7 linked regions of the Macaca mulatta genome follow. The main gene of each other region encodes a partner of the protein of the gene in region 4 in a complex. Links are inferred from orthologs where the notes say so. Each region holds a gene or a part of one and is shown on either strand. Other genes may lie near its edges. The genes, in order: HMG20B, MTA2, CHD4, HDAC1, CDK2AP1, CDK2AP2 and MORF4L1.

Region 1 (4,178 bases), on a different chromosome or scaffold from region 4:
GTGAACTGCTGAATTGCATGGTGATTCCACATTTATTTAACCCTTTGAGGAAATGCCAGTCTGTTTTCCAAAGCAGCTGACTGCATCTGCCTCCTAGACATTTGAACAATTCAATGAATGTGTATTGAACACCCACCACGGTCACTGCTGTGAACCAAACAGGCAGGCCACAGAGAGGAAACCGACTTACGGAGAAAAAAAAAAAAAAAATCAGAGGCGAGGTCCTGGCTGAGCAGGTGACATTTGAGCGGACTTGAGGAAGAGGAAGGGGGCTGGGCGCGGTGGCTCACACCTGTAATCCCAGCACTTTGGGAGGCCGAGGCAGGTGGATCACGAGGTCAGGAGTTTAAGACCAGCCTGGCCAAGATGGTGAAACCCTGTCTCTACTAAAAATACAAAAATTAGCCAGGCGTAGTGGCAGGCGTGTGTAATCCCAGCTACTCGGGAGGTTGAGGCAGAGAATTGCTTGAACCCGGGAGGCAGAGGTTGCAGTGTGCCGAGATCGAGCCACTGCACTCCAGCCTGGGCGACGGAGCAAGACTCCGTCTCAAAAAAAAAAAAAAAAAAAGAGGAAGTGAGCAGCCCCCAACTTGGGTCTGATCCCCCAGAGCGGAGCATCCTGACCCAACTTCACCAGGTCCTTGCAACCTCCCTTTACCACCATCTTTCCCCAAATACTTCCAGCCCAGCTCCCAACCCCACCCCCTGACTGACCCACACCCCGTTCTCAGCTTCGCAGCATCCCAGCCTCTATGCCCTGGACATCGTGCGATGTCCCCATTGCACAGGAGGGAAAGCCCAGATCCCACTGGGAAAGCCGCCCCTGTGGCCAGAAGCCCTCGGATCCGGATGTCGGGGGTTCTGAATAAATAAATAGGAAACGTCTCCGATGGGTTTTGCAGGATGTTAAGAACAGGTCCCACCTTGTCCTAGGGCTGGGGGCTGCCTCACAGGAACTTAACCCTAGCACCTCCGTCCCCATGGCAACCGGGGCGTGGCCCGACCCGGATCCGCGGGTCGCGCCATCCGGCAGCTGCTGGGAGTATCGCCCTCAGAGCGGGAGGAGGAGTCGGCGCCTCACCTACTGGCCCTTTAAGAGGCTCCGCCCGGCAAGTCCGCCACGCGCTCCCGATTGGTCCCGAGCGCGGCCGAGCGCAGCCGAACTTGACGCACCGCCCGCCGCCTTCCTTACTAACCTCCCACGCGGCTCAGCAGCCTCCCCAGCCAATCGCCGGCCGGCGCGCCGATCGGTATCTGCATGGGCACGCCCCGGGGGAAGGCCTCACCCAATGGGACCGTTCGCCGAGGCCTCATTAGCATGCCGGGGGCGGGGAGGGGCGGGGCAGTCGGCGGGGGTGGGCTGCGGGCGGTTGGTTGGAGCGTCGCGCAGTCGGGAGGTCCGGGAAAGTTTCTTTGGAGGTGAAAACAGCCGCGGAACTCCGGGCCTTGCGAGGGGGCGGGGGTGCGGGGGTCCCAGGGCCGGGTCGGGGTCTTTCCTGGGCCGGGGGGAACCGGCCCAGGCCTCCCGGGGGGCAATCGCCCAACAAAGGATTCTTGGGGCGCCCGCCCTCGAGGACTTCCCCGCCCCCGGATCCGGCCCCCCCAGCGCTCCGGGCCCGGCATCCCGGGGCTCTCCATCACGGGATACCCCAGTTCGCGGTCCGCCATCAATCAGCCCAGGCGCTACTCAACTCCGCCCGCGTCCGTGTTCCAGGTCCGGCCCGGAGCAGCCATGTCCCACGGCCCCAAGCAGCCCGGCACGGCCGCCGCGTGAGTGCTCCGATTCCCTCCCCACGCCCTCGCTACCTTCCCGGCTGCAGCCCTAGCTCCTGAACCCCCGCTCCAGTCACCCCGGCCGGGGTCTCGACCGCCCCCAACCTGGGTCAGGGGGCTTCTCCCTCCATCCAATCCTGCATACCCCACCTCGGCCTCCAGCCCCTCCCAGGAGCCCCGCTTGTCCCACCTTCCGCGGATACTGACCCCATCAGACCCTGCTTCCTCGGGCTCATGCACTCTCGCAGCAGCCCCATCGTCGGGCGTCTAAAAGCCTTGGGGTAGGCGTTTGGGGGAGGGGAGGCTCTAGGGACGGGGCTGACCTCTGTATCCTTGGCTCCAGGCCGGCGGGCGGCAAGGCTCCGGGCCAGCATGGGGGCTTCGTGGTGGCTGTCAAGCAAGAGCGCGGCGAGGGTCCACGCGCCGGCGAGAAGGGGTCCCACGAGGAGGAGGTGAGAGTCCCTGCGCTGAGCTGGGGGAGGCCCCGGGCTGCGGCCCCAGCCTTGAAGTCCCGCCCCAGGCTGGATTTGAATTGCTTGTGGCTCCGCCCACAGCCCAGATTTTCCTCCGGAAGCTGAGACCCCGCCCCGTGCGAGCTGCCACGCCCCTGACAGGTCCTCTGCCTCCCTAAGTCCAGGCCCCGCCCACCACACAATGCCAGCTCTGCCCACTCTAAGGTCCCGCCCACTTCCACTCCTTGGGGGCGGCACCCTCCCCATGGTCCTGTGGGCCCTTTCTCCAAGAAGCCACGCCCACCAAGCAGAGGCCACGCCTACAATCTAAGTAAACACCACCCCTGTGCTCAAACCTCGGCCCATAGTCTCTGGGATCCCCTCATCCCTGGCCAGGGACCCCTCTAAACCACCGTGTCCTGACTCCTGACTGGGCCCTACCTCCATCTCTTCCGGGTTCTTCCTCCCAACTAGGCCCCGCCCCGTCCCCGCCCATACAGCATTAGGCCCCGCCCATGCCCCTCTGAGCCCCGCCCCAGTACGCCAGGCCCCCCTCCCAACGACGCAGCCCGGTTCTGCAGCCGGTGAAGAAACGCGGCTGGCCCAAGGGCAAGAAGCGGAAGAAGATTCTGCCGAATGGGCCCAAGGCACCGGTCACAGGCTACGTGCGCTTCCTGAACGAGCGGCGCGAGCAGATCCGCACGCGCCACCCGGATCTGCCCTTTCCCGAGATCACCAAGATGTTGGGCGCCGAGTGGAGCAAGCTGCAGCCAACGGAGAAGCAGGTGAGCGGGGCGCTGAGCAGGGCCGGCGGACCCCCGTACTACCAGTAGCCCCGACCCCCAAAGGATTCCACGTGCAGGGCTTTTCCTTATGCCTGGTGAAATGCCCACCCATGACCAGTTTTTGTGTGTGTGTGTGTGTGTGTGTGTGTGTGAGATGGAGTCTTGCTCTGTTGCCCAGGCTGGAGTGCAGTGTCGCGATCTCGGCTCACTGCAACCTCCACCTCCCGGGTTCAAGCAGTTCTCCTGTCTCAGCCTCCCAAGTAGCTGGGATTACAGGCGCCAGCCACCACGCCCTGCTAACTTTTGTATTTTTAGTAGAAATGGAGTTTCGCCATGTTGGCCAGGCTGGTCTTGAACTCTTGACCTCAAATGATCTGCCCACCTCAGTCTCCCAAAGTACTGATATTACAGGCATTAGCCACCATGGCCAGCCCATGACCAGCTTTTGGGGGCGCGGCTAGCAAGAGGCAAGACAGATCGAAAACTGGGTGACCAACAAAGATATGTCTAAGAAGTCAGGATAAGGCCTGGATTTTTTGTGAAATCTGATTTTCATATACTGTTAGTTTAAAAATTGCAAAAACATCACGGAAATGTAACAAAAGCCACCGCCGCTTTGCACCCCTGTAAGTGAAATTTCAAAGAGAAAAACGGGTGCAGGAGGGAGTCTAGATATCCACATACCCTGGAGGTTGGGTGCCTGCCCATGACTCTGGCGCCCAGGAGTGTCTTGTCAGGGCGGGAGTTGGGGATGAGCCTGGGGCATGGGAAGTGATGTGGGAGCTCAGAGGTCCTTGAGCAACAGGCTGAGGAGCCGGTTCTGTCTGTCTGGAGGGAATAGGGAACTATGGAAGGTTCAGGAGAGGGGAGGGTGCTGTGAAAGCTGAGTGATGAAGACTGGGTCCTGGCGTTAGAGGCTTCCCCTGCCTCAGGTCTTTTGGTGCTGTCCCCCAGCGGTACCTGGATGAGGCCGAGAGAGAGAAGCAGCAGTACATGAAGGAGCTGCGGGCCTACCAGCAGTCGGAAGCCTATAAGATGTGCACGGAGAAGATCCAGGAGAAGAAGATCAAGAAAGGTGGGAGGGGTCAGGCGCGGTGGCTCACGCCTGTAATCCCAGCACTTTGGGAGGCCGAGGTGGGTGGATCATCTGAGGTCAGGAGTTCAAGAC
Region 2 (4,282 bases), on a different chromosome or scaffold from region 4:
ACCAAAGTCCACAACAGGCCAGCAAGAACATTACATTTGTCTCTTGCTAAACCAGCCTGAGGTCCAGCAACCCAGTAAGATGAAAAAAAAAATCACACAAGACTGTGTTTACCAGTTCTTTTCAATTTCAGGAGACTCTTTGCACTAAAACATCACATGCAGCCCTAACTATCCCTCATTCTCTACTTGGCTAATAATAGTTCCTAGGGTTTTCAAGGACAACACCTCTCAAGCTAGTGCCAACATCTTCCTCCTGAAAGAGCTGCAGCTTGCCCTGAAACCTAGTGGAAGGGGTTAATCTGGCTAGGCGCCAACCAAAGTGGGAGGGGGCAGAAAAGCCTCAGGCCCAGGCTCATTGGTGCATTGTTCCCAACCTCAGGGAGAAGGGGGGGTTGTTCAGTAGGCTCCACCCCTCGCTTGTGTGCTCCGGAAACCCTGTGCTAAGGCAAGGGGGACCACACCCCCAACACCCCTTCTGATTGGACAAGGCCAAGGTCAGCCCCTGCCAGATGGGGCTGGAAACCCTAAAGGGCCAGGGAACTTGGTTAGCCAGGCTCCTCTTTAACCCCTTCTCACCCAGAGCAGTCTGAAAAAGGAAAATGATTTAGAAAGGTGGAACAAAAGGAAGGAAAAAGAAAACCAAAGCAGGAAAGGAAAAAGCAGCTAAGGAAAATATTTTTTTTTAAAAAAAGAAAATGAGACCTTAAAGAGGATGAAAATAGAGCAAAATGAAAAGGGAAAGATGTAAAATGGGGGGTGGCAGGTGGGGAAATGGGCAAGGTGAGAAATTAAAAAGTGCAAGAAAACTTCCAGCCATCTTCTAACTTCCAGGTATTCTCACCACCTTGTGATTACAAAATAAGGCTGCTTCTGTTATGCGGGCTTCTCAGTACAATCTCTTCCTCTTCACCTTGACCTTCAGTCACCACCTACTGTCCCAGTGTACCCCAAACTGCCCCCCTTTAGAAAAGCATTCTGTTTCTCTAAACCCCGTCTTCATCCCCTAAATCAACCTTATCGTCTCTCTCCTACTCTCATACACAAACCATATCACAATCTCTCCACCCTGCTTCCAACCCCAACGTGTAAAAACAGGTCTCCCTCCTCAGGCCAGGCATTTCCCACCCTCAAACTCACACCTCTGCCTTGGGCATGCTACCAGGGGAAATACCTGCAGGGACATGCGCAGGCCTCAGATCATGGGGAGGGGGAAAAGAAAGGGATGAAGATACTCACTGGCATTACTATCAGCCAAGCTGTTGAGGCTACTAGAAATGTCCCTGCGCCGGAAAAGACAGACGACCTTTGCCTCCACATTTCCATTTGCAGTCTAAGGGGAGGAAAAAAACAAAAACAGAAACAAAACAACGTAGCAGTGAAAATTGATCATCTGGGAACAGAAATACACAAAGAGACAAATAACAGTAAGTTTCAGAGGGACCTAAATTAAAAAGCCCAAGAAAATATGAGTAAACACTTACATTCAAGGACAGACTTCCAAATCCCTTTCCTTTGCCCCCAAGAGACAGAATAGTAAAGTTCCTGCTAAGCTCTCAATAGCCTTTCCTGAATACATCCAATGAATGAATGAATGAATATGAATGGGTACTTAGTATAGGGTCCTCTCTTCCACCCGAAGTTAGAAACCTCAGAAGAGACCACTGGGGGAGGGAGGGAGAGAGATTCTGCTCCACTCACCTTGTTGAGTTCCTCAATCCGTCTAACCAGGTAAGGATTGCTGGAGGAGTTCTCAAAATAGACGTAATCTGTAAGGGAAGGGAGGGGGGAGAACCACGAAGATCAGAGGAGATGGGAGAGACGCAGAGCACCAGAGTAGGAGAGAAAGTTGGCCTGAGTGGATCAAAAGAAGATAAGGATTCAGGCAGAGAGCGCGCTGAGATGTGAAAGTGTAAAGACTAAGAGAAAATAAGGATGTCCCCCACCCCCACCGCACCTAGTTCTAAAATCAGATCCATTACTCAAAAGTGAGCCTTAAGGAACAGGCAAGAAGCAGGGATTCCCCTGCAGTCCCCACAACTCAGCAACGAGTTGCACCTCAGTCGCGGCGAAGTAATTGTTCGCTCTAGCGCAGGGCCCCCACCTTTTCGAACTGAGGCGCACAATAACGCCTGGGAAGAGGAAACCTCCGGGCGGCTCCTCCGCGGTGGCAAAGCCGTCGCCCCAGCCCCTCGCGTTCCCTCCCCACCCTGTCAGCTCCTTCGGAACCGGTTTCCGAAGCCCACTCCGTGCCCCGAGGAGCCCCCGACGCAGCCCTGAAAGTGCCGTCGGGGCTGCCCGCAGCTTCTCTCCAGGAGTCTCGGCGCCCTGCCGCGTCGCGGTTTCCCGCACCCTAGCTCCTCGTCTCCCGGTTCCGGTTCCGGTCCGCGCTCCGGTCCATGCCGCCCCATACGCTGCGCCTCGCGCCACCCGGTGCCGAGCCCCTCCGGTCCCGACCACAACCTCTCCCGCCCCGGACCCTGTACCCCTGCGCCCGGTACTCACCTCCCACCCGGTACATGTTGGCCGCCATGGCCGTTCCCGCCGCCGCCTCCGGCCGCACAAAGGGGTCCGGGAGGCTCGCGGGGGCAGGGCTCGGCTAGAGGCAAAGCCCTGAACGGTGGGCTGGCGCTTCGAGGGAGTCTCACTGGGGCCCGCGCAGCCGTCACCTCCGCTGCCTCAGCCGTCGCGGTTCATCCCGGCCCGCGCTGTCGCCGCCGCAGCTATCGCCTCACTCCCGGGACGCTGAGGCTGGCCCCGGTCCGCTCGGCTTCTTCCGGAACGAGCTCGGCTCCTGCCAGGCTGCAGCTGCCCCCACCCCCGCCGAGTCCCACTAGTCGTTGAGCTCTGCCGGCCGCAGGGAAGGCTTGCCCGGCCCGCCTCAGGGTTCGCCTCCTTCCGTAACACCTTCGGCCGATCCGGAGAACAAGGCCCACTGCTCGGCTCAGGTCGGAGAGCGAGACCCCGCAGATCGGCTACTTCCGGAAGAAGTTCGGCTCCTGTCGGCCAATCGCTCGGCTATTTCCGTTGCAGCTCGGCACCCCCCCCACCCCTTTTTCCGAGGGCGGGAGAGGAGTGGGGCTTAACTCTGTCCTAGCTGGAGCCCTGCAACTCCTCCTCCCGCCCCGAAGACTCGCGCGCCTTAGCGCTTCGCCAGGTTATTTGCAAGCGGCTTTGCCTGTTATTTGCATAAATGGTCTACGCTCCCTTGCCCTTTCCGCACGCCTCTTTTCCTTCGTCCCCACCCCACAGGGCCCCGGAGGCACCCAGCAGCGCCCCACAAAAGCACCGGGAGGCGACTTTGGTTCTGGTTTATTGCCCCTCAGCAGGCAGCGGGAGTCAAGGCCTAGGTTGGGGCTGCCCGGCTCAACCAGCGGGTCTAAACAGTGTGTGCAGGGGCGCCGCTCGCGCCCTCCAGGGAAATGCACCGTCGGGAATGTTTCGAAGTCAGTCGAGGAAAGAGTCGGCCCCTGGTCGTGGGGGATTAGGGCGGGGCAGAGCGGGGCGGGGCCACGCCGCCAGGCCAGTAGGTCCCGCCGGCAGCGATCAAACGTCGAGGGAGGAGGCGGGGGACAGGGAGGGGGTTCGAGAGGGCGTGGCAGGCGCCGGCCCCGCGCCCCCAGCGCCCAGCACTCGCCACTGGAAGATGCTGGCGTCCTTGCCGCCCAGCGAGACAAGGTGCGAGTCGTCGTGCGTGAACCGGACGCTGGTCACGTGGCTGCCGTGGCCCCCGTACATGCGGCTCGGCGCCTGGGCGGGAGGGAAGACTTGCAGTGGCGGCGGAGCCCTCGGGCCCACCCGTCCCACCCCGGCGGCCCCCGCGGCCTCACCTTGGCACGAGCGCACGGGTACTGGAATAGATGCACTTTGCAGAAGTCGTCGGCCACCGCCACCACGCGCTCGTTGTGGGAGCGGCACAGGGAGTTGATGTCGGTCCCATCGGAGCCGTCCGGCCACACGCCTAGCACAGTGGCCGGCCTCAGCCCGACCTCCTACCCACCGCCACCCACGGCCCAGAGCTACACCGTTTCAGGCGCTCCGGCAGCCGCAGCCACCCACTGTCGCGTTCCAGGAAAGCCTTCCCGGTCCCGAGGGCCGGAGGGGCCTCCTGGGCTGGATCTTCAGGTTTCTGGACTCTCACCCAATGACACACGCCCAGCGTTCCGAGCCCAAACTGGGCTCCACCTTGTCCCCCACCCCTCCAGCAGGGTTCCACGCCCCTGCTCACCGTAGACGTGGAAACCCAGCACACAGGTGTAGGTAGCCCATTCCCGGTCTCGGCTCT
Region 3 (3,512 bases), on a different chromosome or scaffold from region 4:
CAGCGGTGGAGGTGTTATCAGTCTGCATCTTCACTGCTGCTGGGCTACCTAGAGAAGGAGACCCAAGGAGTCAGAATTCCAGATGATAGGAATCCACCCAATCTCAAGGGAATTCACTGACAGCCTACCCACCCAGTATGTAAAGCTAGGAACATACAACAAAGTTACAAGCTCCAGAATGGTTCTGCAGGAAGAGGTGGTGTCAAGAAGAAAATGGTCCTACCTGCTGTGGGGTAGGTTCGGGTGCCCGGTTTGCCAGGCGGCTGAGAATGTTACGCTCTGACATCTGTAACCTCACAGCAACTGGGGGAATTCGGGCAATGGTAGCTGGGAGTCGAGTCACATCGGCTTTCATGTCACTCAGCAGTTCTTCCAGCTGTTTCAGAACTGCAAAGGGAGAAAAAGAGGTGGTGAGCTGTGGTGGCCAAGACTGAGGTCCCTCTACCCTAGTGGACCAGCATCTCTTCTCAGTGACCAAGTGACTGTGATGTGTTATCTTCTGTCACCTGACCTGACCTCCACCATGTTCAAATTCCTGCTCCTCATATTCCAGTTCCAACTGTTCATGATTTTGTGCTCTTAAAAGTCACCTAAACCTTCACTATCCCTTACTATTATTGTATTTCCTCTTCTTGAGAAGCTTATTCCTGTTTTTTCTCTTCTCTACCTTCAGAATCTGTCTCCCACCTCCATTATAACAGCATTCTTTTCCTTATTTCACCCTCCGCCTCCTCATAACCTTTTACTTTAATTAGAAACAAAACGCTGAAAGGGGTCTAGAATTTGAAGGGATCTTTTATCACCTGAAGTTACCTCTAAAGTATCCCAAATGACACTATATTATTCTGCTTTGCTTTCCATCTCAAGAACCTGAATATATTTAAAGTTAAAAGAGGTGGGGCCGGGCGTGGTGGCTCATGCCTGTAATCCCAGCACTTTGGGAGGCAGAGGCAGGTGGATCATCTGAGGTCAGGAGTTTGAGACCGGCCTGGCCAACATGGTGAAACCCCATCTCTACTAAAAATACAAAAAATTAGCCGGGCATGGTGGCGGGCGCCTGTAATCCCAGCAACTTAGGAAGCTGAGGCAGAAGAATCGCTTGAACCCGGGAGGCGGAGGTTGTGGTGAACTGAGATCACGCCATTGCACTCCAGCCTGGGCAACAAGAGCAAAACTCCATCTCAAAAAACAAACAAAAAAACAAACAAAATTAGCAGGGCATGGTGGTGCATGCCTGTAATCCCAGCTACTCAGGAGGCTAAGGCAGGAGAATCGCTTGAACCTGGGAGGCAAAGGTTGCAGTGAGCCGAGATCACGCCACTGCACTCCAGCCTGGGCAACAAGAGCAAAACTCCGCCTCAAAAAAAAAAAAAAAAAAAAAAAAAAAAAAAAAAGGTGGCCAGGGCGGGGCATGGTGGCTCACGCCTATAATGCCAGCACTTTGGGAGGCAGAGGCAGGTAGACCACTTGAAGTTAGTTTGAGACCAGCTTTGCCAACATGGTAAAACCCCATCTCTACTAAAAATACAAAAACTAGCCGCAAGTGGTGGCGCATGCCTATAGTTCCAGCTGCTCGGGAGGCTGAGGCAGGATAATTGCTTGAACCCAGGAGGCAGAGGCTGCAGTGGGCCAAGATCACGCCATTGCACTCCAGCCTGGGCAAGAGCTAGACTCCATCTCAAAAAGAAAAAAAAAAAGGTGGCCGGGTACAGTGGCACATATTTGTAGTTCCAGCTACTCAGGAGGCTGAGGCAAGAGGATCACTTGAGTCCAGGAGTTCAAGACCCACCCGGGCAAAATGTTGAGAGCCCATCTCTTTTTTTTTTTCCGGAGTCTCACTGTGTTGCCCAGGCTGATAGCCAGTGCAATGGCACGATCTTGGTTTACTGCAAACTCTACCTCCTGGTTTCAAGCGATTCTCTTGCCTCAGCCTCCTGAGCAGCTAGGATTACAGGCATGTGCCACATGCCCAGCTAATTTTGCTATTTTTAGTAGAGACGGGGTTTCACCATGTTGGCCAGGCTGGTCTCGAACTCCTAACCTCGTGATCCACCCACCTTGGCCTCCCAAAGTGCCGAGATTACAGACGTCAGCCACCGCGCCCAGCCAAGAGCCCACCTCTTAAAAAGAAAAAAGAAAAAAAAAAAAAAAAAGAGGCAAAGAACTACTGTCCTTGATTGCCTCTAACATATTAACTCCCCAAGGATGGCAAAGGTCCCTACCAACTCCTAAACTCTCAAAGGAGCTCTGAAAAAGGTTTGAAAACAAATATATGTACATTGGGATGCAGTTAGATGAGGGAGGAGGCCTAATCAGCAGGAGGCAGGGGAGCCACTGGCTACCTTTGTGCAGGACTGCATTGGCTGGCTTGTTTCCTGCCATTGACTCCTTGGACAGGTGCTGATGACTTTCCGCCAAACACTCCACCTCAGCAAAGCGGGTGTTGAGGGCCATGGAAGGGTGAGAAGGGTCTTCTGACATGTTCAAGTAAGCAGCCCGGCGCAGCTGTTCCTCAATCACCAGAGCTTGTTCTAAGAGCTGGACAAGGGATAAAAGGAAACGGGAGTTCGACTGATAACTCACTTTGCTTACTTCTGACTGGCCTCTCAGCTCACCTCTCATTGTTTCTGATAGTAATAAGAACCTATAAATAACTTCATGGACAGCTCATTCCCACACCCAAGCAGTTTAACTTTGCCTTGTATCTTTTTTCTTTCCCTTTTTCAATGTCCTCGTTTTTAAAACTCTTTACCCTTTAGATTCTCTTATACAAAAGCAATAAAAACTCAATTTAGAAAATAGAATATCAAAAATTAACAACAGATGATCCCACCTTCTAGAAATATATCCTGATTTTTTTTTAGGTTTTTTTGTGCATAGTTTTTTACATAACTGAGATCATACTATATACATATCCATATTATGTTTTCATTTAGTTACAGTTAAACATTTTCCTTTTTATCATCTACTCTTTATCAACTACTCTTCAAAAACACGTTTTGGCTGGGCACAGTGGCTCACACCTGTAATCCCAGCACTTTGGGAGGCTGAGATGGGCAGATCACTTGAGGTCAGGAGTTCAAGACCAGCCTGGCCAACATGACAAAACCCCATCTCTACTAAACACACAAAAATTAGCAAGGTATGGTAGTGCACACCTGTAACTGCTGCTGCTCAAGAGGTTGAGGCAGAAGAATGCTTGAACCCGGGAGGCAAAGGTTGCAGTGAGCTGGGATCATGCCACTGCACTCCAGCCTGAATGACAGAGGGAAACTCTGTCTCAAAAAAACAGGGTTATTTTGCTATTTTAAAATATTTTTGTTTTTTATTTCCTCTTATCGCCATCTCACTTCCATTCCTCTGAAAAGCAACCTTTCTAATATAGTAATACTGTGGCTTTTTGTGTAGGTTTTTAAAGACTGTGTTGTTTCATATGTATGTTTCTAAGTTACAGAATGATGTTTTCTGTACCTATGCTTTTTTTCTCCCACTACATACTTTTTAAAAGGTAC
Region 4 (3,512 bases):
CATCATTCCCTTCCTCCAGAATAAAGAAGGGAAAGAGATCAGGGCAAGAGCTTCAGATTGGGACATGGTATTCTGAATGGCAGAAGAGGCAGGAAGCAGTTTTTAGTGGCATGAGATAGGACAGAGAAGTAGAGCTGCCAGCTGAGGGTGAGCTGGTTGGCTCCTAAAGGGCGTTCTCACCCGCAGGTCCCCAGTTCCTGGGAAGTACTCTCCATACTTATGAAAGGACACAGTCATGACCCGGTCTGTGGTATAGAAGGCCTCTTCCACGCCGTCGCCATGGTGAATATCAATGTCAATATACAGCACCCTCTGGTGATACCTAGGGTCAGAAGGGGGTCAGGGGTCTGGGGGCTCTTTGGGGATGGGACGCGCCAAGGGCGCCAGGTCCCAGCTTACCGGGCTGGCTGCCTCCCTCAGGTATCTCTAAGCACCAGAGACGTGGAAACTGGCTGAAGGAAGGTGGAAGAGCGGCCAGGTGTCTCCAGAGGCCTGACCAAGCCGACCAAGTCCGATCTTCCTACTCTACAGCCAGGGTCAACTCCAGCCACACAGGGACACTCTGGAGGCAGGATCTGAGCAGCACCTGCCCCTGATCATGCCGTGGCTCAGTTCAAACCAAGACCCCATCAAGGAGATGATGGCCAGAGACACTCACCGAGCACATCCTAGCCAGCACATCGGTAGGAAAAGCAAACTAGGGAGGCAAGCCCAGGGGGAAAGGGAAATGGGAACCTGGCCTAAGGTGCTCTTCCAAGAGACAAGGCCAGGCAGGCATACTTTAGCAGTTCCAGGATGGCCAAGACGATATCATTGACGTAACAGAAGCCAGATGCCTCAGACTTCTTTGCATGGTGCAGGCCCCCAGCCCAATTCACAGCGATGTCCGTCTGCTGCTTATTAAGTTTCACAGCACTTGCTGGGCATGGGAAGAGAGAACATAAGCTGGTTACTAAGCCACTCTCCCCTTCTTCCAAGAAGCCCAGGGAACCAAGTGAGAGGTTAAGACCTGCCTATTCAACAGCTGTATTGTACAATTCATAGATTAGTCCCCTCCCTCCCACCCTACTCCAGCAGGAAATAAACATGACACTGGCTACTCTTAAAATACTATTTTCCAAACTGAGGGTAGTAACCCATTAGCAGGCCTTAAAATTGATTTAGTGCATCATTATTAGTATATATATATTTTTAATGAAATAGCATAGAAAAAAATATCAGAGTAACAGTAAAGGTAACTGCTCTTTTGTAAAACTGGCTTCAGAGTGAGTGAGTGTGTGCATGCATGCATATGTGTTATATGTATCCTGGATTGCATGTGTAAATTTATTTCTTACTATGGCTCATGGTCAAGGAACTTTGAAAAAATACCAAAGATAGGCTACGTGCGGTGGCTCACGCCTGTAATCCCAGAACTTTGGGAGGCCGAGGTGGGCAGATCACCTGAGGTCAAGAGTTCAAGACCAGCCTGGCCAACATGGTGAAACCCTGTCTCTACTAAAAATACAAAAAAAAAATTAGCTGGGCGTGGTGGTACACACCTGTAGTCCCAGCTACTTGGGGAGGCTGAGGCAGAAGAATCGCTTGAACCCAGGAAGCGGAGGTTGCAGTGAGCCAAGATCACGCCACTGCACTCCAGCCTGGGTGACAGAGGGAGACTCTACTTCAAAAAAAAAAAAAGAAAGAAAGAAAGAAAAAAAAATGACCAAAGATAGTGCCGATACACTAGGTCAAAAAGCACTAGCACGGCCGGGCGCGGTGGCTCAAGCTTGTAATCCCAGCACTTTGGGAGGCCAAGACGGGCGGATCACGAGGTCAGGAGATCAAGACCATCCTGGCTAACACGGTGAAACCCCGTCTCTACCAAAAAAAGACAAAAAACTAGCCGGGCGAGGTGGCGGGCGCCTGTAGTCCCAGCTACTCGGGAGGCTGAGGCAGGAGAATGGCGGGAACCGGGAAGGCGGAGCTTGCAGTGAGCTGAGATCCGGGCACCGCGCTCCAGCCTGGGTGACAGAGCGAGACTCCGTCTCAAAAAGAAAAAAAAAAAAAAAAAAAAAAAAGCACTAGCACAAATAGGCCCCAGAAGAAGTAAAAGAGAAATACACACTCATGTGTGCAAGTGCATTTGTGGCAGTGTTAATTTTTTTTTTTTTTTTTTTGAGACGGAGTCTCGCTCTGTAGCCCAGGCTGGAGTGCAGTGGCCGATCTCAGCTCACTGCAAGCTCCGCCTCCCGGGTTCACGCCATTCTCCGGCCTCAGCCTCCCGAGTAGCTGGGACTACAGGCGCCCGCCACCTCGCCCGGCTAGTTTTTTGTATTTCTTAGTAGAGACGGGGTTTCACCGTGTTATCCAGGATGGTCTCGATCTCCTGACCTCGTGATCCACCCGTCTCGGCCTCCCAAAGTGCTGGGATTACAGGCCTGAGCCACCGCGCCCGGCCGGCAGTGTTAATTTTTTGTTGTTGTTTTTTGAGATGGAGTCTCACTCTGTCACTCAGGCTAAAGTGCAGTGGCGCGATCTCGGCTCACTGTAACCTCCACCTCCCAGGTTCAAGCAATTCTCCTGCCTCAGCCTCCCAAGTAGCTGGGATTATAGGCGTGCGCCACCACGCCTGGCTAATTTTTGTATTTTTTAGTAGAGATGGGGTTTCACCATGTTGGCCAGGCTGGTCTCAAACTCCTGACCTCAGGTGATCCACCTGCCTCGGCCTCCCAAAGGATTGAGATTACAGGCGTGAGCCACCGTGTCCGGCTGCAGTGTTGATTTTAACAGCAATAAAAGCATAGATAGATCCAAATTATCAAGAAGAGGGACAGATTAGATCAACTCAAGTAAATCCACAACATGGAATAATCATAGAGCCACAAGAAAGCAAGCTGTAGAAAACTACAGACAATTTCGTTAAGTAGGAAATGCAGGCATAAAACCATATATATGTGATATGTATATAACCTACTTTTGTAAAATGTAGATGTTGTATATGTGTTATACAGATATAAACACACACACCAAAGAATGGCCAAACACCAACATGGTGACAGAGGTTATCCACCAACCCTGGGACTATGGGTGACTGTGTTTTTTTCTGTGCACTTCTTTGTTTTCTGCGATTATACTGGTCGGGCAGCGGGGGTGGACACAATGATTATATTGGTGGGGGATCACAGGGAAATAAATATTTAAGAAAGGGTTTAGAGTCATCCTGGAGATAACCCAAAAGTTGCAAATGGAAGTGGGAGACACGTGGGGAGTATTTCTGACCTCTAAAGGTAATTACCATACTTTTTCATAGGACAGATTCACAGATGATGACACTTCCATTTTTATAGCACTTTGCAGTTCACAAATTGCTTTTACATACAGCATCTTAACAACCCCAGGAGGTCTGCAGGGAACTCCTGTACATAAGATCTCTTAGTAGGAGAGGACAGTCAAGGACACCTGTCAGTACCATGTCAGAGATTGAACTTGGGCTGGGACTGAACCAGAAGGACATTTTAGAGACTTTTTAA
Region 5 (3,064 bases), on a different chromosome or scaffold from region 4:
GTCTCAAAAAAAAAAAAAAGAAAAACACACTATTCTTGGCTCTTGGCTCGTGGGCTGCAGTTGCCAACCAACCTACAACGCTCCTATGCTCCTAACTCCCTGACCCCTCTATGACATGTTTTCACCCTGCTGTGACATGAGCTTGGTCAGCTTGGGCTTGGCTGTTGGCCAAGGGGAGGCACTGGGTCTTCCTTGTTACTGCAAGACTGGCAGCTAGTACGCATTTGCTGACTTGAAGCAGTGCCTTTTATGGGCAACTGCAAATCACCTGTTGGACTTTGGGACCCAGCATCTTCCCAGGAATTTCCATTCGGGTAACCAGCACCCCTGCTACCAGAGAGCGGCCCTGGGACCACCCAACACTCTGGGCGAGACCAGGGTTGGGTTCTGCATCCCTTCCCCAGGCCCTCTTCAATCACATCCTCTAACCCTGCTGGTCCCAACCTAGCTTTGAGATCCGTCAACCTCTTCACAAAGGCTGCATGAACTCCAGAGCAACCCCGCTCCTGGCAGCAGCCTGTCCTCAACTGGCCCTCGTGTCACTGGGGTCATGACTTCAACTACAGCCCCCATATTTCCTACAGATTTACAACCAAAGAATGTTCCTCTCCCAGGCCAGGCATGGTGGCTCACGCCTGTAATTCCAGCACTTTGGGAGGCCGAGGTGGATAGATCATAAGGTCAAGAAATTGAGACCATCCTGGCCAACCAACATGGTAAAACCTGGTCTCTACTAAAAATACAAAAACTAGCTGGGCATAGTGGCGCACGTCTGTACTCCCAGCTACTTGGGAGGCTGAGGCGGGAGAATCGCTTGAACCCGGGAGGCGGAGGCTGCAGTGAGCCGAGATTGCGCCACTGCACTCCAGCCTGGGTGACACAGCAAGACTCCATCTCAAAAAAAAAAAAAATGTTCCCCTCCCAGGTCGCTTCTCCAGCCTTTTTAAGAACCCCAAGTCCCGGGCCAGGCACAGTGGCTCACGCCTGTAATGCCAGCACTTTGAGTGGCCAAGGCAGGCAGATCACCTGAGGTTGGGAGTGCAAGACCAGCCAGACAACATGGAGAAACCCCATCTCTACTGAAAATACAAAAAATTAGCTGGGCCTGGTGGCACATGCCTGTAATCCCAGCTACTTAGTAGGCTGAGGCAAGAGAATCGCTTGAACCCGGGTGGAGGTTGCGGTGAGCCAAGATTGCACCATTGCATTGCAGCCTGGGCAACAAGAGTAAAACTCCGTCTCCCAAAAAAAAAAAAAAAAAGCACCAGTCTCCCCTCATCTTGAATGAGTTCATGGGCTATGGCTCCGCTGCACTATCGCCTTCTAAAATAGAAATCCTGCTCTCCCTCCATTCCCTTTTTATTTCAGGAGATAGCAATCTATTTAACCTCCTTTCAAAATCAGCCGGGCAGTCACACCTTAACATGAGTTCCCTTGTGCTCTGTCATCTCCTGCCTGCCCTCCTTCTCCAGTCATTAAAGAACAAAGTGCTCTCAGCCTCCCGCCCCAGACCCACACACTTCCTTGGGTCTCGCTCCAAAGAGGTGACAGCAGAGGGCAGTGCAGACACCAAAGAACCCTGAGCCTGGCTTCCCTAGGACCAGTGTCGGCCAACAGAAGCAGACCAGGCAGGAGGCAGGAGGGAGAGTGGTGGCGGCCAGGGCGGGGGGGGGGGGGTGGGGGGTGGTTTGAACACACCCTTGAAAGCCAGCAGACCCCCTGGCAGCACACAGGGTAAGAAGAGCTCCCTGGCTGGGCTGCCCTTCCCGGAAGACCCCTCTGAAGGCATCCGGCCCCCTAGGCCCCTCGCCACCAGACCCACCGCCTGCCTGAGGCCTCCATAGCAGACAGCAACTCTGTGACAAGACAGGAGCTCCGATGAAGGAGCCCCATCCCCAGCCCACCCTCCCATGTTTTCCCCAAAAGTCTTTCCAGAGTTAAAGGCCTAGCCTGTGGTCACGGCAGGGCAGCGGGGCCGGGCTCACCGCGCTTCAGTCTCTCCATGGCACTCTTGCTCCCCGCGTACGTGGGTCTGATCTCCTTCCCCAGCTCTTCAATGATGGCCAGCAGCTCCGCGTATTTGCTTTGGGGCACTTGGCTGTTCCCAGTTCCCTAGAATCAGAAAGAAATTGGTTCAGCAAAATTAGCTGGGCATGTTGGTGGGCACCTGTAGTCCCAGTTACTCAGGAGGCTGAGGCAGGAGAACTGCTTGGACCGGACCCATGAGGCAGAGGTTGTAGTGAGCCAAGATCGCTCCACTGCACTCCAGCCTGGGCGACAGAGCAAGACTCCATCTCAACATCTCAAAAAAAAAAAAAAAAGGGGTTCAGCAGCCTGACCCCAAGGCCACAGGCAGGTGGGTGGAGAGGCCCCTGGGCCGGTCAGAGGAGGGAACGCAGTCCAGCCTTAGACTCCTGGGGTAGCCACCTCAGCTGGGCCAAGGCACGTCCCATTCTAGGGGACAACTACAGGTTAGGGGGATGGTCCTCACCCTTCTATCCTCACACACTCAGGAAGACCACCCAGTCGCCTCCAGGAAGCAAGTGTATCATCTCCAATGAACAAAACAGGGGAACCAGCTCATCTTGGCACAAAAGAGTCCAAACAGCATTTCCCAGGATGCAGATGAGTAGGAGGGCACATCGCAGGTGCCGAGCCTCCAAGCCAGTGGGGAGACAGAGGCCGCACCTGGGCCACCAGGACCACAGCCATCGGCCATGGCCCCGCCAGAGCCTGGAATGCATTCCCTTCTCTCATCCTCCCACCCACAGGGCCCACCCCCCAGAAACCCTTTCCTCCCACCACCACTGGGAGCCCCACAGCAAGCACCCGGATCAGCGAGGCTGGGCTCCCGGCAAGCCCGCAAGCCCAGACCACCTCCCCTTGGCTGCCTCCTCCCAGAGCTGCACCAGCTCCCTGGGCAAGGTCCTCGCCTCCTCCCTCCTCCACCGCCGCCTCTGTCCCCTGGCCTTGCGCTCTGTCCTCCTGTCCTCATCTTGGTCCAGCTGCTCTGCCTCCCCACGGCACTGCCTCCAGGCCTCACGGGCCTCCTGCCTGTCTCGGC
Region 6 (3,848 bases), on a different chromosome or scaffold from region 4:
TTACTGCAATGTAAGGAAGATGTTGCTTCACTGTCTCAGAGAATAAGGCCTCCTTGAGTACAGAGGCCATGGCCTGTTCATTTCTTTAACCTCAGGGTTCAGTACAAAGCATGAGATGGAGGAGGGAGTCAGAACATGGTTTTTGTGTGGTTTCTTGGGTTTTGTTTTTGTTTTTGTTTGAGACGGAGACTTGCCCTGTCACCCAGGCTGGAGTGCAATGGCACGATCTCGGCTCATTGCAACTTCTGTTTGAACGATTCTCCTGCCTCAGCCTCCCGAATAGCTGGGATTACAGGTGCCCACCACCACGCCCAGATAATTTTTGTATTTTTAGTAGAGACAGGGGTTTCACCATGTTCGATCACGAGGTCGAACTCTTGACCTCGTGATCAGCCTGCCTCGGCCTCTCAAAGTGCTGGGATTACAGGCGTGAGCCACCGCGCCGGGCCAGAACATGTTTGTTGGATGGATGGATGAATGAATGAATGAATGAATGAATGAATGAATGACTGTCCTGGAGATTAAGATCTACAAAGCTGGGAGCATGAAGGTACACAAGGCCAGAGAAGTCTGAGTTTGGGGAAGGAGCCTGGGAGAAAGGGTTAGTGAGTGGAGGAGGGTCTGAGGTCTAAGTTTATGGCGAATGAGATTTGAGGGGAGGGGTCTGAGTGGTGGAGTGGAAAGGTATGGGGGCCCTGGAGTGGGACAGGAAGCTCTTTATGACTATTCATTTAATCCACACAACCCAATGAGATTGTCATTTTCCCCATTTTACGGATGGGGAAACTGAGGCATACTGAGGTGAGAAACTTGCCTGGGGGAAATCGCTAGTGGGGGTGGTACTGAGATTCGAACCCAGGCGGTTGGCTCCAGTCTGTGCTCTTGACCAATTTGGTCCGGGGCCCGGCACACAAGTAATCCCTGTTTGCCCTACGGCCATTATCACTAACTGAGGCAGCGGCGCGGGGCCTTGGGGGTGAGGGCAAAGGGGTCCTTGAGGTCGCCCTTGGACCTGAGGACAAGCCAAGCCTCAGGAAGAACGGTGCGCGGCGGCATAGATGAAGGGCCCGTTGCCATGGGAACAAACGCAGGCCTCGGGCGGGCGCATGCGCAGATCGGGGAGAGGGTGTTGAACCGGTGAAAGGTGACGTAAAAGCGCACGGGGTGGGGCGCGGGGCTCGGGACGTCAAAGCCCTGCGTCCTTCGGCCCCCGGAGCAGAGAAGCGCGCACGGCAGCGGTGACAGCGGCCACGGCAGCGGCGACAGCAACCCCTGCTGGGCCGAAACTGGGCAGAGCGGAGCAGACGTCTGAAGCAGCGCTAGTGAGGCGCGAGGGTGGCGCCCGCGCCCGGGAAGACACCCTCGGCGCGAACCGGCGGCCCAGCCCCGGGTCCGGGTTCCCGAGGCCCCGCCTCTAGGGCCTGGGGACTAATCGGATTGAAAGCGCGCCGGCCCGGGCCGCGAACTCGCCAATTGCGGAGGGCGGTGGCCACCGCCCAATCCGGAGCAGACAGGTGCGAGGTCCGGAAGGCGGAGGCCAATCGGCGGCGGTTGCGACCTGCTGGGGCAGGTCTCGGCCAATAAGGAGGCTCGAGTGACATCTTCGCCCACCAATCGGGAGTGAGGGAGCATTCGTGCCCGCTCGCCCTTCCGGCCAGACCTCTATTTACCAGGGGCGTGCAGCCCGCTTGCCAATCAGAGCGCGGCTGAGCGGCCCGGCAGCCAACCCCCGAGGAGCGGCCGGCTGGCGTCCGCCGCGCCCAGGAGTTGGGGATGTCCTACAAACCCATCGCCCCTGCCCCCAGCAGCACCCCTGGCTCCAGCACCCCTGGGCCGGGCACCCCGGTCCCTACAGGTGAGGATCCAGCTCCACCCCTGCTCGCCTGCCGGGCGGTCGAGGTCTCGAAGAGAAGACGGCCTGAGTTCTGCAATACTGGGCTTGCCGCCTACCCTCGCTGAGCCTCAGTTTGCTGGCCTGTGAAGTGGGCGTGGTCACGTAAGGGCTTGTAGGTGGAGCGCAGTGGGAGGGATTTGTCCCTGAAGTTGATCAGCCTGGAATGAAGCATCCTTTGGAGGGAATCGGGCGAACCCGGTCCTGGGCTTGGAAAAGCTGGGAGGCGGCGTCCCTGCCCCGCGCTGACCTCTTACTCGCGCCTGTTGCTGCAGGAAGCGTCCCGTCGCCGTCGGGCTCAGTGCCAGGAGCCGCCGCTCCTTTTAGACCGCTGTTTAACGACTTTGGACCGCCTTCCATGGGCTACGTGCAGGTGAGTGGGGCCAAAGGCTTGCTTATGGATGGGGACTGGAGTCCCCCTCCCCGCCAGGTGCCTGAGCTCACTGCCCTGTTCTCTTTTGACATAGGCGATGAAGCCACCCGGCGCCCAGGGCTCCCAGAGCACCTACACGGACCTGCTGTCAGTCATAGAGGAGATGGGCAAAGAGATCCGGCCCACATATGCTGGCAGCAAGAGCGCCATGGAGCGCCTGAAGAGAGGTAAGTGAGGCCAGGCCGCCCTGCTTAGGAAACCGACACTGGACTATCTTCCATTAGGGAAAGAAAGACATCCGGAGGCCACCTGAGCCAAGCCTAGAGGAGGGCCAGTATTACTACCCAGAGAGGTGTTTTGAATCGAATTGAAATTGCGTCCATTTCCAGGGAAGAGCCTGGGAATTTGTACTTCTACAGGGCAACCTTGAGGATTAACCAAACCTCTAATCTCATCTAGCCGTCATTAGTTTGGAATTTCTCTTGCTGAAAGGGGAAAGGGAGTGGGGAGGCAGGGGTCCTCCTCTGGAGGGCAGTGGGTGGGGCTGTGGAGGGTTGCTGAGACCCCACCCCACCACCAGGTATCATCCATGCTCGGGCCCTAGTCAGAGAGTGCCTGGCAGAGACAGAGCGGAACGCCCGCACGTAACAGGAAGCGCCCCGGCCTCAGCGTCTGGACCTTTCCCGGCCACTGCAGAGCACCCGCTTCTCCCTGGCCTTCATCCCGAGTTGCACTAACCATCCTGGGCTTCCTGTCCTGTGTCCCTTGGTGGGTCCCCTCCAGGAACCAAGGAGCGGCTCTCCAGGTGGCAGCACTAAGGACATCCCCCCACAACAAGAGTTAGCAGCGAGGTCCCCATGAGTCCCACCCATGACCTGCCAACAGTGTTGCCCACCGGAACTTTCTGTGGTCCCCACCGCTCAGCCCTTCCCAGCCCTTCTCCCACTTTGTCCCGAGCCTCCTTCTCCCCCAGCAGGGGCTCAGGCCTGGCACCTCACTGCCTTGTGTCCTGAGCCATAGTGACTCTTTTATCTGTGTGTCTTTTGCTAAATATGCCCTTTTTATATTAATAAAAGATGATTTGGAGTTGTGCTCTCAGCTCTGAGCCTTTCTGGGTCTGGTTCTTCAGCTAAACCTGGGTGGGCCAGGCAGAGAAAGGGGAAGAGGAGACTAGGAGTGGGGAGGGTGTGACTAAACAGGGTTTGACTTGCCTCTGTGGGCCATCAGCCTCAGGTGGGAACCGGGCCCTCTCCGCCCCAGCCGTGGCGCTGAGAGCCCTGGGCCTTCCTGTGGTGCCACCAGGGGGCAGCACAGGGCCTGGCTGCTTCCACAGCCCTTGGCGCTATGGGCAGCCTGGGCCTGGAGGGCGCTTCCTCTGGATTGGCGGTGATGCCTGGCAGCATGGAAATGCCAGTTCACGTAAGCCACTCCCTCAAACGCCCTAATGCCCTGACAACACCCCAGCCTCTGAATCAGCCCTGAAGGTCTCTGACTCCTCAGAGAGAACGGGCACTGCTGCTTCCAGCCCTTGGCCTCACAGTCAAGGGGAGGGGCTGGCCGGGTGCTGCTGTCACTACCCCAGCA
Region 7 (4,100 bases), on a different chromosome or scaffold from region 4:
AAGGGGTTGTGTTAAAAAGACTGAAGGAGAAATGGAAGTCAGAAAAATGGAGAGGGGCCCGGAAATGGTAGGGTGTGGAACCCGGGCAGGGGAGGGCTTAGAAAAGCCATGGAGGCAGGCTGGGCACGGTGGCTTGCTCCTGTAATCCCAGCACTTTCCGAGGCCAAGCCGGGCGGATCACGACGTCAGGAGTTCCAGATCAGCCTGACAACATGGTGAAACCCGGTATCTACTAAAAATACAAAAATTAGCTGGGCGTGGTGGCACGTGCCTGTAATCCCAGCTACTCCGGAGGCTGAGGCAGGAGAATCGCTTGAACCTGGGAGGTGAAGGCTGCAGTGAGCCGAGATCAGGCCACTGCACTCCAGCCTGGGCGACAGAGCGAGACTCCATCTCCAAAAAAAAAAAAAAAAAAAAAAGAAAGAAAAGAAAAGAAAAATATATAATATTGAAGAAATCCGTTTGTTTAGTGTGTGTACATTCAATCATGGCTCAAAAAATTAGATGACAAAAAAGTACAAACAGGGCAGGTACGGAATGCAGAGGTTGGCATATTCACACTAGCCTTTTGCGGATAGCAGAGCTCCATTATCTCAAAAAGCCAAAGCCTGACTAGTGTTTCCCACGTCATCTTCCTCATTTCCGCAAGGCCGGGACTGGAGAAGAGGAGGTAGACCTGGGAGCCAACAAATGGCTATCAATCCCACCAAATAGACTAGGCAGTGGGCTTGCTAAACAACGAAGCTTCCAGAAGCGGACCCCACTTCCCATCCTCTTGTGGCCACATTGCTGATCCTAAAGCTTTTCTATGCAAAAACTAGCGGAATGCTATTGAATATAGGTTTTCGAGGCAGCCCTATTCTCTCCGGCTACTTCAACATCAATGGGGGCTTATTTGCCCAAAGGACGTCGCAACTGGGTTTTTCCCATTTTTTCATCGCTGGTGGTTCACCGCCCCGACTCTCCCCCATTGCCCGCTCTGCTTTAACCTCCCACGTAATCAATTCCCCGCTTTACCAACCCGCAGCAGCCCGGGGGATGGGGAGTGGCGGGGGGGTGGGGAGGAGTGGGGTAGGGTAGCCGGCCCCTCCCCCACCCAGCTGCGCCTCCACCAACTAGAAACTACCAGTCCCGGCGTGCCCCGGGGCGGCGCGGGCGCAGGGGCGCGGGCGCGGCGGGTTGTCATTGGCTGGAGCAGCGGCTGCGCGGGTCGCGCTGCTGTGAGGTCTGCGGGCGCTGGCAAATCCGGCCCAGGATGTAGAGCTGGCAGTGCCTGACGGCGCGTCTGACGCGGAGTTGGGTGGGGTAGAGAGTAGGGGGCGGTAGTCGGGGGTGGTGGGAGAAGGAGGAGGCGGCGAATCACTTATAAATGGCGCCGAAGCAGGACCCGAAGCCTAAATTCCAGGAGGGTGAGTGTGCGCCTTTGGGAAAAAGGCACCTAACGGCGCAGGAGATGGAGGCGGGCTCGAGGTGGTTGAGGTTTGAGGGCCGGGGGTGGCTCGGGGTGCACCCTGAGAAGGCGGCGGATAGTGCTTTGTGCGGGGAAAGCGCATTGCGGATGGCAATTCCGATGCGTCATTGTGAGCGCTTTGTGAAGCGAGAGTGCTACGCAGGCGTTAGAGTGGGAGAGGGAGCGTTTGGCGCGTGGCACACCCTCGTCAAGTGTTTGTTATTGTTCTGAGGAAGAGGGCGCGGAGAGAGCAGCCTATTGTAGGGAGGCGACCAAGGCGCCATGGCGGCGGTTAGGGGAAGTGATGTGGCGGCGGGGGGAGGGGCGGCGGTGGTTTCTGGCTGTCCTGCAGCGCGCCCGGCCGCTTGGGCAGCCACGACCGGCGGTTAGGTGCTCCCTGGAGCCCCGGGGTGGTCGCGTTCGGTGGAGACTCGGAGCTGCAGATGGGGGTGGGTTTGGCGCCACGGGGCGGGAGAACTGCGTTGTAAAATGGCCGTTGCAACATGGCGGCTTCATCATGGCCGCTGGCGTCTCTGCCCCGTATGCAGGCGCAGCTTCAGGGCAGATGCAGCGCCCCCTTCCACGAAGACCGCAAGGTTGCCGGGACCCTTCGCTTACCTCAGAGTGGTGGGTGGGGACAGAAAAAAAAAAAAAGGATCAGTGGGATGAGCGTTTTCCTCCGCTTTGTGTTGCCTGGAGGCCTCATTCTGCTCTTAGGCGCAGTGCCAAGATCCTATGGTAACGTTAGTGCGCTCTCGCTTTGCAGTTGCTCGTAAAAAGTAAATAAAAATGATCTGAATGCAGTGTTAACGCCGTTTGCCTTTGTAAGTCCCATTGTCTCGACGTCATTTTTTAAATGCAGTAATTGTTTGATTAGTTGCAGTGTTTAACAGTGACTTGAAAGTTGAGTTTATTTTTATTAATTGGTTTTCGATTGGCATGAGGTTTGGCTAGGGTTAGACTGCCAGTGGAAGGCAGCTCTTTAAATTTTCACAACGCTTCAATTTATGTATAATAAGGTGGAGGTCTAATAGCTAAAAAGGAAGTAAAATCCTGTAAAAGGAGGAACACTCTAATATTCGTTTTCATTGCTATGGAAATTTATGCTAGTTACCGTAAATACGGTGTTTCCATGCGTACTATTTTTGTTCTAGGGATTTTTAGACTTGCATTAAAATTCCTTTTAGAGACATAAATCTTAAACCGTAGTACTGCGTATCTTATGGGATATTTAAGGGAGTTTTAGGGGTATTTTGTTAACGAGTGACTTTTTTGTTTTTTTATATATATATATATATATATATTTTTTTTTTTTTTTTTTTTTTTTTTTTTGAGACGGAGTCTCGCTCTGTCGCCCTGGCTGGAGTGCAGTGGCCAGATCTCAGCTCACTGCAAGCTCCGCCTCCCGGGTTTACGCCATTCTCCTGCCTCAGCCTCCCAAGTAGCTGGGACTACAGGCGCCCGCCACCTCGCCCGGCTAGTTTTTTGTATTTTTAGTAGAGACGGGGTTTCACCATGTTAGCCAGGATGGTCTCGATCTCCTGACCTCGTGATCCACCCGTCTCGGCCTCCCAAAGTGCTGGGATTACAGGCTTGAGCCACCGCGCCCGGCCTGTTTATATTTTTGAGACAATGTCTCACTCTGTCACCTAGGCTGGAGGGCAGTTATGGTACTCGGCTCACCTCTGCCCCCCGGGCTAAAGCGAGCCTCCCAAGTAGCTCGGATCACTGACGCGCGCCGTCATGCCCGGCTGAGTTTTGTTCTGTTTTGTTTTTAGGGGTTTTTTCTTTCTTTGTGGGTTTTTTTTTTTTTTTTTTTTTTTTTTTGTATTTTTGGTAGGGACGGAGTTTCATGATGCCCAGGCTGGTCTTGAAGTCTTGGGCTCAAGCGATCCACCCGCCTTGGCCTCCCAAAGTGGGAGGATTACGGGCGTGAGCTATCGCGCTCAGCCGTGTGACTTTTAATACCCTTCTCCCACCTTGAGAATCTGTGACTCTACCTCCTATGGATTCATTATTTTACTAGACGTTTTAGAGCAGATATTCTTAGTGCATTCAGAGGGTCCGTGAAATTGAATGAGGAAGATGTGTTTTTTCTGTGTACCCAAGTTTAGTTTTCAGTTAACAGTGTAATTCCTCCCCCCAAACCCCGAAAAAAAACGCCGCATTAGTATTTTCAGATCTCAGCATTACAGTTGTGGAAGATGTTTTCAGTTATCAATCATTCTCGTTTCTTCAAAATTAGGGTAGTTGCTGGATGACTAGCCAAGTCTTTGTCCTGTAATGTCATAGAACGTGACATTTAAAATGTTTTGGTGTTTCGATACAGTCGGTTGCCTTTGTACTACTGTGTGTTTTATGTATTTATGAAATCATTCGGCTCGTAGGCTGTATCAGACTGTCAAGGCACAAAAAGTTAATCGCTTCTGTAGGAACAGCCTAAGGTTGGCTGTTTAAGGAAGCGCTTTAGTTCTAGAGGGTTGCTAGTTAAGAGGGGAATAGCAGCAGAGAATTCCTTGTGCCTTTTTTTTTTTTTTTTTGAGACGGAGTCTCGCTCTGTCGCCCAGGCTGGAGTGCAGTGGCCGGATCTCAGCTCACTGCAAGCTCCGCCTCCCGGGTTTATGCCATTCTCCTGCCTCAGCCTCCCGAG

Evidence for each region.
Region 1: HDAC1 (region 4) and HMG20B share a complex: the UniProt entries of both Homo sapiens proteins name them as parts of the BHC histone deacetylase complex. The link is inferred for Macaca mulatta from reciprocal best matches to the Homo sapiens genes HDAC1 and HMG20B.
Region 2: HDAC1 (region 4) and MTA2 share a complex: the UniProt entries of both Homo sapiens proteins name them as parts of the nucleosome remodeling and deacetylase (NuRD) repressor complex. The link is inferred for Macaca mulatta from reciprocal best matches to the Homo sapiens genes HDAC1 and MTA2.
Region 3: HDAC1 (region 4) and CHD4 share a complex: the UniProt entries of both Homo sapiens proteins name them as parts of the nucleosome remodeling and deacetylase (NuRD) repressor complex. The link is inferred for Macaca mulatta from reciprocal best matches to the Homo sapiens genes HDAC1 and CHD4.
Region 5: HDAC1 (region 4) and CDK2AP1 share a complex: the UniProt entries of both Homo sapiens proteins name them as parts of the nucleosome remodeling and deacetylase (NuRD) repressor complex. The link is inferred for Macaca mulatta from reciprocal best matches to the Homo sapiens genes HDAC1 and CDK2AP1.
Region 6: HDAC1 (region 4) and CDK2AP2 share a complex: the UniProt entries of both Homo sapiens proteins name them as parts of the nucleosome remodeling and deacetylase (NuRD) repressor complex. The link is inferred for Macaca mulatta from reciprocal best matches to the Homo sapiens genes HDAC1 and CDK2AP2.
Region 7: HDAC1 (region 4) and MORF4L1 share a complex: the UniProt entries of both Homo sapiens proteins name them as parts of the SIN3B complex. The link is inferred for Macaca mulatta from reciprocal best matches to the Homo sapiens genes HDAC1 and MORF4L1.

The regions. Positions count from the first base shown.
Region 1 is NC_133424.1:4,383,179-4,387,356, forward strand, and holds the start of HMG20B (SWI/SNF-related matrix-associated actin-dependent regulator of chromatin subfamily E member 1-related), read left to right. Parts: upstream 1-1,372; 5' UTR 1,373-1,462; intron 1,463-1,714; 5' UTR 1,715-1,732; coding exon 1,733-1,770; intron 1,771-2,116; coding exon 2,117-2,225; intron 2,226-2,806; coding exon 2,807-3,010; intron 3,011-3,964; coding exon 3,965-4,085; intron 4,086-4,178. UniProt on the Homo sapiens protein: Required for correct progression through G2 phase of the cell cycle and entry into mitosis. Required for RCOR1/CoREST mediated repression of neuronal specific gene promoters.
Region 2 is NC_133419.1:11,464,217-11,468,498, reverse strand, and holds the start of MTA2 (metastasis-associated protein MTA2), read right to left. Parts: upstream 2,809-4,282; 5' UTR 2,531-2,808; coding exon 2,503-2,530; intron 2,385-2,502; exon of another isoform or gene 2,102-2,384; intron 1,767-2,101; coding exon 1,699-1,766; intron 1,331-1,698; coding exon 1,237-1,330; intron 1-1,236. Other genes in the region: EML3 (echinoderm microtubule-associated protein-like 3), read right to left, coding at 3,544-3,747, 3,828-3,958, 4,226-4,282. UniProt on the Homo sapiens protein: May function as a transcriptional coregulator. Acts as a component of the histone deacetylase NuRD complex which participates in the remodeling of chromatin.
Region 3 is NC_133416.1:7,522,670-7,526,181, forward strand, and holds part of CHD4 (chromodomain-helicase-DNA-binding protein 4), read right to left. Parts: exon of another isoform or gene 3,316-3,512; intron 2,539-3,315; coding exon 2,343-2,538; coding exon of another isoform or gene 2,340-2,342; intron 388-2,339; coding exon 224-387; intron 49-223; coding exon 31-48; 3' UTR 1-30. UniProt on the Homo sapiens protein: ATP-dependent chromatin-remodeling factor that binds and distorts nucleosomal DNA. Acts as a component of the histone deacetylase NuRD complex which participates in the remodeling of chromatin.
Region 4 is NC_133406.1:208,549,408-208,552,919, forward strand, and holds part of HDAC1 (histone deacetylase 1), read right to left. Parts: intron 920-3,512; coding exon 781-919; intron 323-780; coding exon 181-322; intron 1-180. UniProt on the Homo sapiens protein: Histone deacetylase that catalyzes the deacetylation of lysine residues on the N-terminal part of the core histones (H2A, H2B, H3 and H4).
Region 5 is NC_133416.1:130,669,623-130,672,686, forward strand, and holds part of CDK2AP1 (cyclin-dependent kinase 2-associated protein 1), read right to left. Parts: intron 2,113-3,064; coding exon 1,986-2,112; intron 1-1,985. UniProt on the Homo sapiens protein: Inhibitor of cyclin-dependent kinase CDK2. Also acts as a component of the histone deacetylase NuRD complex which participates in the remodeling of chromatin.
Region 6 is NC_133419.1:6,872,815-6,876,662, forward strand, and holds CDK2AP2 (cyclin-dependent kinase 2-associated protein 2), read left to right. Parts: upstream 1-1,308; 5' UTR 1,309-1,773; coding exon 1,774-1,855; exon of another isoform or gene 1,856-2,006; intron 2,007-2,012; exon of another isoform or gene 2,013-2,057; coding exon of another isoform or gene 2,058-2,166; coding exon 2,167-2,264; intron 2,265-2,358; coding exon 2,359-2,491; intron 2,492-2,844; coding exon 2,845-2,912; 3' UTR 2,913-3,340; downstream 3,341-3,848. UniProt on the Homo sapiens protein: Acts as a component of the histone deacetylase NuRD complex which participates in the remodeling of chromatin.
Region 7 is NC_133412.1:57,080,809-57,084,908, forward strand, and holds the start of MORF4L1 (mortality factor 4-like protein 1), read left to right. Parts: upstream 1-1,289; 5' UTR 1,290-1,369; coding exon 1,370-1,409; exon of another isoform or gene 1,410-1,479; intron 1,480-1,561; exon of another isoform or gene 1,562-1,754; coding exon of another isoform or gene 1,755-2,046; intron 2,047-4,100. UniProt on the Homo sapiens protein: Component of the NuA4 histone acetyltransferase (HAT) complex which is involved in transcriptional activation of select genes principally by acetylation of nucleosomal histones H4 and H2A.